Linked DNA regions of Caenorhabditis elegans. The protein of the gene in region 1 purifies or fractionates together with the protein of each later gene. This does not show direct contact. Each region holds a gene or a part of one and is shown on either strand. Other genes may lie near its edges. The genes, in order: F59B1.2 and F15B9.8.

Region 1 (4,114 bases):
ACATTGTATATATTGTTTCAGAAGCTTTTGTCAGCCAACTGTGCCCAGAGCCAGAAAAAGCGACAGCGGGAGATCACATTCGTCAAGCAGGCTCTGATTCAGGGAGCAGTTTTTGCGACGGAGCTCGTCTTCTTTTTCATAATCTCCGGAATGCAATCACAGCCGGTGGCTATTTTCCTGTGCACGACGGTAGCGTGGAGTTTGGTGCATACTATTGATCCGTTGGTCTTGATTCTTTTGAATCGCGAGTTTCGAAACATGCTGATGAAAAATCCATTGACGAAGAGAAGTGAGTTAAGGGCAATATCTTAGATAAAAGAGTGGGTTCTCGCGGTCCCAAACTAGTGTCGGCTGCAACATAAATTACAAACTGCAAACTGCTTTTGTCTACTGTGCATAGTGCAACTATTTATCTGAAAAATAGTGCCAAACCCAGAAAATGTCGGGCGCTGCGCATTTAGTCAGCTTCCCTCACCACAGATCGGCCAGATTCCCTTGTGCGCAATTTTCCAAAGTTTTTACGACCAGTGACGTCACAAACTACAAACTACAAACTAGAATGTGTATATATAGCTATGCAATTTTTTCCAGCCACCCGAGTCACCTACTCGATCACACAAGCGATTGATAACACGAGCTCTCACACACACAATTGAAAACTAAATATAAACATTTTATTGAATCGAATCGATTGTATTGATAAAACAAAACGTGATTGTGATGATGATGGTGATGGTTAATTCTTAATTTGCTGATAAGAATAATAAATGATATAGTTTTTGAATTCAGTGTTTTCAATGTAAAAATCTATTGATTGTCAACTGGCTCCACGTGCTGGGCTTGAGCGTGGTGAGCATTGACTACTGGAGCATTTTCGGCGTCGAGGGCGGCTTGAGCGGAGGCGAGCTCACGTCGGAGTTGCTCGACGTACTGAAAATTTGAGAAAAAGTAGAATTTAGAAGTTGCAAAACAAGTTTGAAAATTTGGAAAAAAAAATTTTGTAGCACACGGTTGTGCCAAAGTTTTTTCAAAAGAAAGTTATATAGAAATACAGATAAATATGTTTTTTTTTAATGTTTTGGAAGTGACTTTAAATTTAATTAAACTTTAATTGAAAATTTGGAAAAATTGCTAAAAAAAATTGCCTCAAATATTTTTCACTTTCCTCGGCACACACTTGTGACTTTGCAGTTTTTCTGGAATTTTTCAAAATTTTCAATTAAAAGTTAAAACCTTTTCCTGTGTAAATTTTGTAGATAAAAATTTGACGAAAACATGAGAAAAAGTTTTTTGAAATTAGGAAATATCAGTTTTAAAACAAAATTTATTTCATTTAAATTTTTTTCCAAAAATTGGAATTAAAATTTTTATTTAAAAAAAAAGATGGAAATATCCAAACTCACATCAGCGGCTTGAACGGCATCTCTCTGCTTTCTGCACTCAAGTTTGCAGGTCTCGAAGGCGCTGGTCACCTGAAGAATTAAAGTTTGAGCCAACTTTTAGATTTAGTAAAATCTTCAAATGTTATATTTTAATTTTTTAGTAAAAAAAAAATTTTTTTTAATAATTTTTTACTCATTTTTTAGAAATCCATCAAATTGATATCAAAACAATTGACGCTGACCTTCAATGACTTTGGTGGAGAAATTTTGTGCTTCTGGGCAACTGGCTGCTTGACGACAACAACTTCCTCGGCTTCTTCAACTTCTTCTGGAGCATGATGAACCTCTTCTGGTGCTGCTTCGTGAACAACTTCTGGCTCATCGACGATCACAATTTTCTCAGCTTTCACCTTCTTCACTTTCTCGGCTTTCTCAGCTCTAAATAATAAATTTTATTTCAACGGAAATTATTATACAAAATAATTCAAAAATCAATTTTTTAATTAAAAAAAAACTAACTTTCCACCCTTCTTGTCCTTGGCTACCTTCTTGCAGTCAATTGAAGAAACAAAAAGAAGTGCACAGATGGCAAGGACTACAATTGTCTTACGATACATTTTTCTGGAAATTTTGAATTTTTCAAATTATAAATTTTGTGTAGGAAAAGCTGAAAGACAACAAAAAATGCAGAGAAAAAAAATTTTTAGAAAATTTGCATAACTCAAAATTTATTTTTTTCAAAAGTAATATAAAATCACGCCCAAATTGTTGTTAACCCTAAATCTCATGACAAAAAATATAGCAGCCGACATCTCACATGACAATGAATTGGCGATAATTTCTGAACTGTTTGTGGCTAAAAAACAAGATGAACACTTTGGTTTTTGAGTTATTGGTGTTGTCATAATTAATGTGAAAACTAACTCGTGAGATGCTGGTCACTACATTTTTTTTTTAAATTTAAACACCTTTTTTTAATTGGTAATATATGTATAAATAGCAGAAATGGGAGGTTTTCTGTGAAATACTTATTAAAACTGTGATTCAGAAATACCACAAAAAATAACAGAAAAAGTTGAAAAATTATGAAATATCCATTTTGCAAAAACGTGGACCAATCAGCGATTAGCGCCGCCCACTTTTGAACCAATCAAGCCAAGTAGGCGGAGTTGAATGACGATGGCTGGTTTGAACGGGGATTTTTATTTTGAAGTACATCTTTTTTCAAAACTTGGTTTTTTTTCGTTTGTTTCTTTTTTTGGAATTTTTGGAATCCAAAGCAAAATCTCCACAGATTAAAAGGTTTCTTCTAAACTAAATAATCATAAAATAAACCTGATCAAGTTTAAAAATCGAAAAAAAACCGGGAGAAAAAGTGTCACCAACAATTGAGAATAGATAGCAATCGATGAAGCTTATAAGCACAATCACACTGATAACGTACTGTTTTCTGCACTTTTCACCAATTTTTGTGTACGTCAAACTCGCAGAGCATTGACGTAAATTGATCGAAATAGAGCGGTTAAGGAAACGTCGCTTGAAGAAAAAACTGGGAAAATTTGGTGGGAGAGATCACGCGGGTTGATGTTTTGAACGTTCATAGATGAGTCTGGAGTGGTGGTTTTATCTGTAAATTTTAGATTGTGATCATTAAAAGTATGGTAAAAACACAAATATTTTGCTTGTGGGAAGTGGTCAGGAGTTCAGGTTTGAGGCAATGATGCAATATTTGGGATTACGTTTGAAAATGTGAAAACTGAAAAATGTTATACGAAAACTGAAAAATGTTATACGAAAACTGAAAAATGTTAGACGAAAATTGAAAAATGTTAGACGAAAACTGAAAAATGATAGACGAAAACTGAAACATGTTAGACGGAAATTGGAAAAAAAAATTGAATTTCGGAATCTGAGTAATATATTAGCTCACGCAACAATTTTTGGTAAAAAATCTTTTCCGAACAATTTAAATTGTATGCTTTTTCCACTCAAGTTTGTTTTGGTCTTTAGCAAAAAATTTTCTAAAGGTCAAATTCTGATTGGGTATTTATCAAAACCCACCAATTTCAAAAAATACACGTCACCAAATTTAAATGCAAAAACACCTTTAGATTATTCATATTCCAAGTCAAAGTGAAAAAGAATAAAATTTAATCATAATATTATATCAGCTGTCTCTAAATTTTTCATTGTTCTTTTAACACTCAAAGCTATTTCTATGGTAACAACACATCGAGAAAAAATTTTAAAAATTATTTTTACCAGTGGATATGAACAATTTTTCTGTAAATTCTCACTTTTTCGCTGTAATTGAAAATGATAACCGGTCTCTGCAACTGCCACTTATGAACTTGATTAATGTTATTTCCACTATCATAGTATTTATTTTACTCTATGCAATAATTTCGAGAAAACGAAAAAAAGAATCTCAAATTTATCAGATAGTTTTGATAACTCATTGTTTCACGTTGTGGCTTTCTCAAGTTTATTGGGGAAGTTTTCATAGCCTCGTGTTTTTATTTCCATTTCCTGGATTATATGGTATCGGGTATCTTGCTCCATTTTTGAGCTCTTATGTTCTAGTGGTAAGATTTTTTTTTTAAACTTATTTACAACAGTGCTCTATATCTTCTCACCTAATTGAAAAACTTGTAAAATTCTATTAAAGCATTTTCAAAAAATTTTTTTTTAAATTAAGCATTAATAACTGACTAGAAATTTTCAAAAAATTA
Region 2 (5,958 bases), 9.4 Mb from region 1:
TTGATGTTTTCTTCTCAAAACTGATTTCTTAACTGTCTTATGTTCAAATCGAACACATCCAGACGTGTTCCTTATTCAACTAATCGTCATTATCCAGTTTCAGCAATGAAGTGTAATAGAGGGTGAAAAAGGCAACATCTTCGACCCGGTTATCATCATCAGCAACCCTCTTGTTTCTTTATCACCTCTATTTCTTCATTTGCCAGTGTAATGCACTTTTTCATCGATGGGCCACCGCCGACGGATCACGGCATCCGTGGCATGCATTCCTATCTCTTCAAGGATTCCCTTCCTCTTTCCACCCGCCAATAATCAACAACTTAATTTCTATTCAGACCGTACCTGTTGTTCACCTCATCCCGATTGATCTTGTCGCCAATTATCATTTTGTTTAGTTGTGTGTTGGGGAGATGGCTATACCTGAGAATTTGAATATTATGAGGGCAATGATAACGAAGAAAGGAACACATATGGAAAAAGATATAAAATACATTGAATATGGGAGGAGGAATAATTATAATAGACGAAGATTGCATCGAGGTCTTGAAATTTTGATTTTAGTTATTCAAATTTCAAAATAACAGCCATCATTTTGTCGGTTTTTCTAAGAAATGGTCTACATAGTTAAAGGTCTATTGTTTAAATAAACATTGATACTCATTTTTAATTTAATATACAAAAGTTGGAGTTTCAAAATTACAAGATTAAACAGTGGACATGGACGAAAATTGCAATCCGTGCTCATTACACTTGAAAAGCTTTTTTGAAACTTATATTAGTAAAAAGCTAGGTCCCGTACACCATTTGTAGGTGCAAATTATCTCAACTCAAATCAATCACAGGGAAAATCTTTTCGTACAGACATGAATTTTGTTCATTAAATTTGAGCCTACACCCTTTTTCTGATTGTAGCTCCCAAATGACGTGTGTGAACAAATTAAACCCTAGAACTCTGTACCATATTAGTTACAAAAAAATACTCGTTAGAATTGTCAATATGATTTTAGGCTTCTATTTGCTTCAAAAGGTCAAAATTCTATCACGTGCTTCTCAAGTCTGACCCAGAATATCTTAAAACTCTTGCTGATATCGTATCGTTTCCGCCTAGGTAAATCCACTCTCGATTTTTTATTCAAAGGATCACATCACAATGAAAAACCCTCGCACATTCTCAATATCCAATCATTAGACGGAAAAATGTGGAAAAATGCCGAAAAAATCCAGTTAGCCATGTAAATCGCGAAGGTTGATGATGCATCAAACAAGCGGACAACATTGCAAAAACTCGATTTTTTTCTCGCTTTTCCCTCAACCCATTTTATCGTTATCGACACCAGTCTCCTCATTGCGAGTGCCTCCGCCCTCCGGATGACTATTTCGGCCCCTTTCCCCCATCTTTTTGTCGACTATCCACAAATGTACAAATACATGAGATTAGATGCGTACCTTTCATCAAATTTATCCGTGATTATAACTTTTGTCGTTTTCTTTTTACTTTTTCTTATCACTTGTCCGTTCATGGAATTGGATATGAACGTACACATTTGTATTACGCAACAATATATTCTACATGTACCCGTTCCATAAGTGGTGATTATTTAGAGAAATTGTCTAGAATCTAGAACTATTAGTCACGCCTTACTGACCAGATTTAAGATACTAATGAATAAATGTGAAAGTGGTTTGATTTATTGGCATGTTTATGCCATTCACACGTCATTTCGATTTTCCCTATAAATTTGTATTCTTTTTACTATTTTCTCACATACTTATTTTTTGCTTATTTATATTTTCTGATTCCTACCCAATTTCAGAAGACATGAACCGGTGCATCTTGCTCGCTCTCTTACCCCTTATTTCAGCGATTCCAGTTGCTGTTAATATAGATGATCAAGACGTAAGTTTTTTGTTTTAGTGGTTGAAAAATAAATAGAGAATTAATTATAGGCAGTGAATTTGGGAGCTTACGATCGAGCACGATTTGATCTCGTAGAAAGTTTCCACCCTCTTCAGCCAGCTTCTGCAGTTACAAGTAAGTGAAATGTTTGCCTGGTGGAATCAATAGATATAAATTGTTTTACAATTATTTTTGAAAATAGATTATTGAAAGCATGGCACTAATGAAAAATTTAGTCTGCCGGCTGTGATAATTAATCACTTTACCGTATGCTGACACTGTAGGCAAACATTTTTACTTTCAATTTTTAGGAGAATGTCTCTAGAATACCTAGCGAGCTTTATGTAGGCACAAAATTTGTTTCTGTTTTTCAGGATAGGTTTATCACAAAATTTAAGGTATTCATTCATGTTGTTTAGTAACATTCGTTAGCGGCTAATTTTATTTTAGAAAAACTAGGAGAATGTAAAAAAACACAAAAACACCGGAAAATAAAAGATTAGGAAACTAACTTACTTACAAGGGGAATATGATATGAAATTGGCGCGGAGGGAAAGCTACTAGTTCTCAAATCATTTGAAAGTAACTCGACACCTACCTGAAGCTAAGGGACACGCTGGCTAATTGTGAACAAATATTGTTCAAAAAATTCAGTCTCATACAATTGTTTGTCAGCTTTTACTTGTTAAAAATATTGGCATGGGATTTAGTTTTCGGAGAAAGAAACACAAATAACCCATTTTGTTGAATCGTTTATTTAAGATGCCGAACACTTTTTGAAATCTTCGAGACTGTAATTATTTGATAATATGTAAACGGTCAAAATGTTTGATTTGGTTAAAAATGAACATTTTGGTGTTTATCTTAATTTTTATAAAGGCATATTATTTGCGACATATCTAGTTTTCTAATATTTCCAAGTTCCTGAAAAATGAACTGTTCTGAACGAAAAAATATTCTTAAAGGTAGATATATTGTTAAAAACAACTGCTATGATGCTAAAACGACCATTATAGCAAAACTTCCATATATCATATGAAAACTTTCCAAAAAATTTTTTTAAACATTTTTATTGACAGTCAAAAAGTGGTAATTAGTGAGTTTTCGCTACTTTTTGATAAAGTTTAAGCATTATCAAAATTTTGAATCCCTTCATTGCTTGGATATTAATATTTCAAACATAAGTAGACTGTATGTAGAATTCGAAGGAAAATTTTTGATTGACGAAATTCAAAAAACAAATGGCAAAAATTGAGATCTTCCCAATTTTTTAAAGTTTTTTGAATTTTTTATTATTATGATAGTTGATTATGGTGGTGCCACACTTCTCCATCTTTAAAATTTCAGTGCTGAACAATTCTTTAAAATTCACAGATTTCTCTAGAGTCTTTAGAGCAGAAAATAATTTGAGAAAGCACTGACGTATTATTGTCAAATGTTTGTCAATATTTTTACAGCCATAGAAAAATGTTTTAAAATCTTTAATAATGAAAAAATAAATAGTAAATTGATTTTATAAAATAGTGTGAAATTTTCAGACGATCAAATTGCTGAAGTGCGTGCCAAAGCAGCTGGTGTGAGGCAAAACGAAGCTTCAATTTCAATTGACTTGCCAACACAAATGCTTTCCGGGAGTTCGGGAAGAATTCCAGAAAGTAAGCCACTAATTGACATTTCTCTAACACGTGTGACCATATCGGAGAATAGAAAACAACAAAAATCAAGAATTATCACATAGCTGTGTGAGCTGCTCGGACATGGCTCCGTGAGAATAAGCGCGAAAGTCGTAGAAATAGACACGTTTTAACAAAATTACTCTATCGGTTAAAGAAAGCTTTGGAGCAGGGCGTCTAAACAAAGAAAGAAGGAATGGAGAAGAAGTAGGCGGCTTTGGAAAAATAATAGAGAAAAGGACGAATATTTTAAAATATTATGAGACAAACTAGGGGCGCAGGGGCAACATTCTGAATTTTTGATTGAAATTTGACGACTACTCGGAATTATCTATTAAATGATCTTCTATTAGTTATTTAAAGGATTAGTTGTTATTTTTGACATTAAAAAAAATAATCCAATTTTTAGTTTAAGAACTTGGAGAAGACTACAAGTCAAAAAAAATCGGGAAAGAATCTGCAGGGTGTGTCCTCACAGAAGATTGTTGTTAATTAGTAATCTTGAACTTTAAAATTTAAGGATTCAACCGAATCAATTTTGAAATTTTGAGACTTTTTGAAGATGGATTTTTTTGTAAGTTTGTATTATAAATCAGCAAAATCAGATTGGAAATATGTTGAAGTTTTTTTGCAACTATTTTAAAAAAATTTGAGTGGAAACTAACTGAAAAATAAGAAAAATAATTAAAGCTTATACTAATAAAAATAAAAAAAAAAAACCAAAACCTTATTTTCTGTTTAAAGTTTATCAAAATTAGGCGAATTTTATTGAATTTAGCCGAGAATTACAGACAAATTTAAAAATGAAATAATATTTTGAAACCTACTTTGGGTATTTTGAAGTTTTTATCCCAAAAAAAGAGACTTAATTTAACTTTAAGAAAAAATCACGATTTGAAATGGAATCAACGAACAGCTCTTTGGCTTCTCTATATTGAAAATTGTAGTTAACAATTTTCCGAAAACGGGATTCGTATTTATCAGAATCATATTTCTTATGATTTAGTATAATTTCTTGGAATTTACTATCAAGAAGAATACAAACACTTTATAAAATATTTATGACAGAACTGAAAGACGCATATAATATGAGATATAAAAAGAGCTAAACATGAAAGATGTATCCACTAGTAGCATCGTGTCTAATTCGATTCGATTTGCAAGTTTCAATATTTTGTTGTTGATTCCCTTGAGAGATTTGAGAGAGTCTATCACATTAGAACATTAATCTGTTCTTATCTCTTTTTCTCTTAAAATAATCACTTTTCAGGATTGGCGTTCGGAGAATGGACTGAGTGGACTTCATGGTCAATGTGCCAAAATGGAGAGAGATCAAGAGTTCGTACATGTGTTTCCAGAAAACCAGCTCTTCGTGTTGTATGCCACGGAGATGCTATTGAGGTGAGATTTTCCTTTTATATAAAATTATTCAGTGATAAGTTCATTGAAATTAGGTGGTTAACCAAAAAAGTTTTCCGCGGATCATATTTCTCCGAGTTTATACAATCTGAAGAGCAATTTTTGATGAGAAGCTTCATTTTTTTGTTGGTTTTTTGTAATAAATTTTTTTTGCAATAATTTAAAATCTGAATTATTTTCAACACGGAAGAAATTGATTTCAATTAATGTTTTTACAGATTGAGAAATGCTACGTTGACGCCGGAGAAGGTCATATTCCAGTTGCCGCCGACCCATGGTCCATCGAACGTGAGATTAGCGGAGATTTTGCCTAAATCCGAACAATTTCCGAAGAGAGGAGCACAGAGACCTCTTATTTAATAATTCATTCATTTTCTCACAGTCAGTTCTCGAATTGTATGCACTAATTGTTATTTTCGTTTTCCAATTCAATCTAATAATAATTTATTTATTTATTGTTTTTTTTTTTGACACTGCAAGAGAGGTCTCAAATGGGACCTACAGGAAAAATTGAATCGGTATTAATTTTTCAAATGCTCATTAATGGGAATAACACAATAATGACAATTATGAGAATTTTATTATTAATTTGAATTCACAAATTGTTATTGAAAATTTATAAGTTTTGTTGAAATATACTCACTATCAAAATAGTAAAAACAGAGAAAATTAAGGCATTTGTCATGTTTGAACCCCTAAAATGCTTAGGTACAATATTAGAACATGCTTCAACTATTTTTAAAAATTCAAAAATGTTCGAGCAGTTTTAATATTAAAAACAATGCAACATTAAGCAAATTTTTAGAATAATTTCTCCCCACTACTCCACGTTAAATTTAAAGTGAAATTTCAAAATTTGACTCAAATAAATGAAACTCCTACATTTAATTTTAGAAAGATCATAATTGTTTGAACGAAGTTCAAATTTTTCAAAACATTTATTTTCAAATTTCAGAAAATAATAATTTG

What was found.
Region 2: the proteins of F59B1.2 (region 1) and F15B9.8 fractionate together in Caenorhabditis elegans (co-fractionation; one large-scale study listed by BioGRID). This does not show direct contact.

Annotation. Positions count from the first base shown.
Region 1 is NC_003283.11:3,631,230-3,635,343, reverse strand, and holds F59B1.2 (uncharacterized protein), read right to left. Parts: upstream 2,004-4,114; 5' UTR 2,000-2,003; coding exon 1,902-1,999; intron 1,821-1,901; coding exon 1,625-1,820; intron 1,473-1,624; coding exon 1,404-1,472; intron 931-1,403; coding exon 808-930; 3' UTR 666-807; downstream 1-665. Other genes in the region: srx-41 (7TM GPCR serpentine receptor class x (Srx) domain-containing protein), read left to right, coding at 22-289, 592-656; F59B1.6 (Serpentine Receptor, class I), read left to right, coding at 3,653-3,967.
Region 2 is NC_003283.11:12,986,742-12,992,699, forward strand, and holds F15B9.8 (Beta/gamma crystallin 'Greek key' domain-containing protein), read left to right. Parts: upstream 1-1,814; 5' UTR 1,815-1,819; coding exon 1,820-1,897; intron 1,898-1,947; coding exon 1,948-2,032; intron 2,033-3,435; coding exon 3,436-3,552; intron 3,553-4,840; coding exon 4,841-4,971; intron 4,972-5,207; coding exon 5,208-5,303; 3' UTR 5,304-5,443; downstream 5,444-5,958.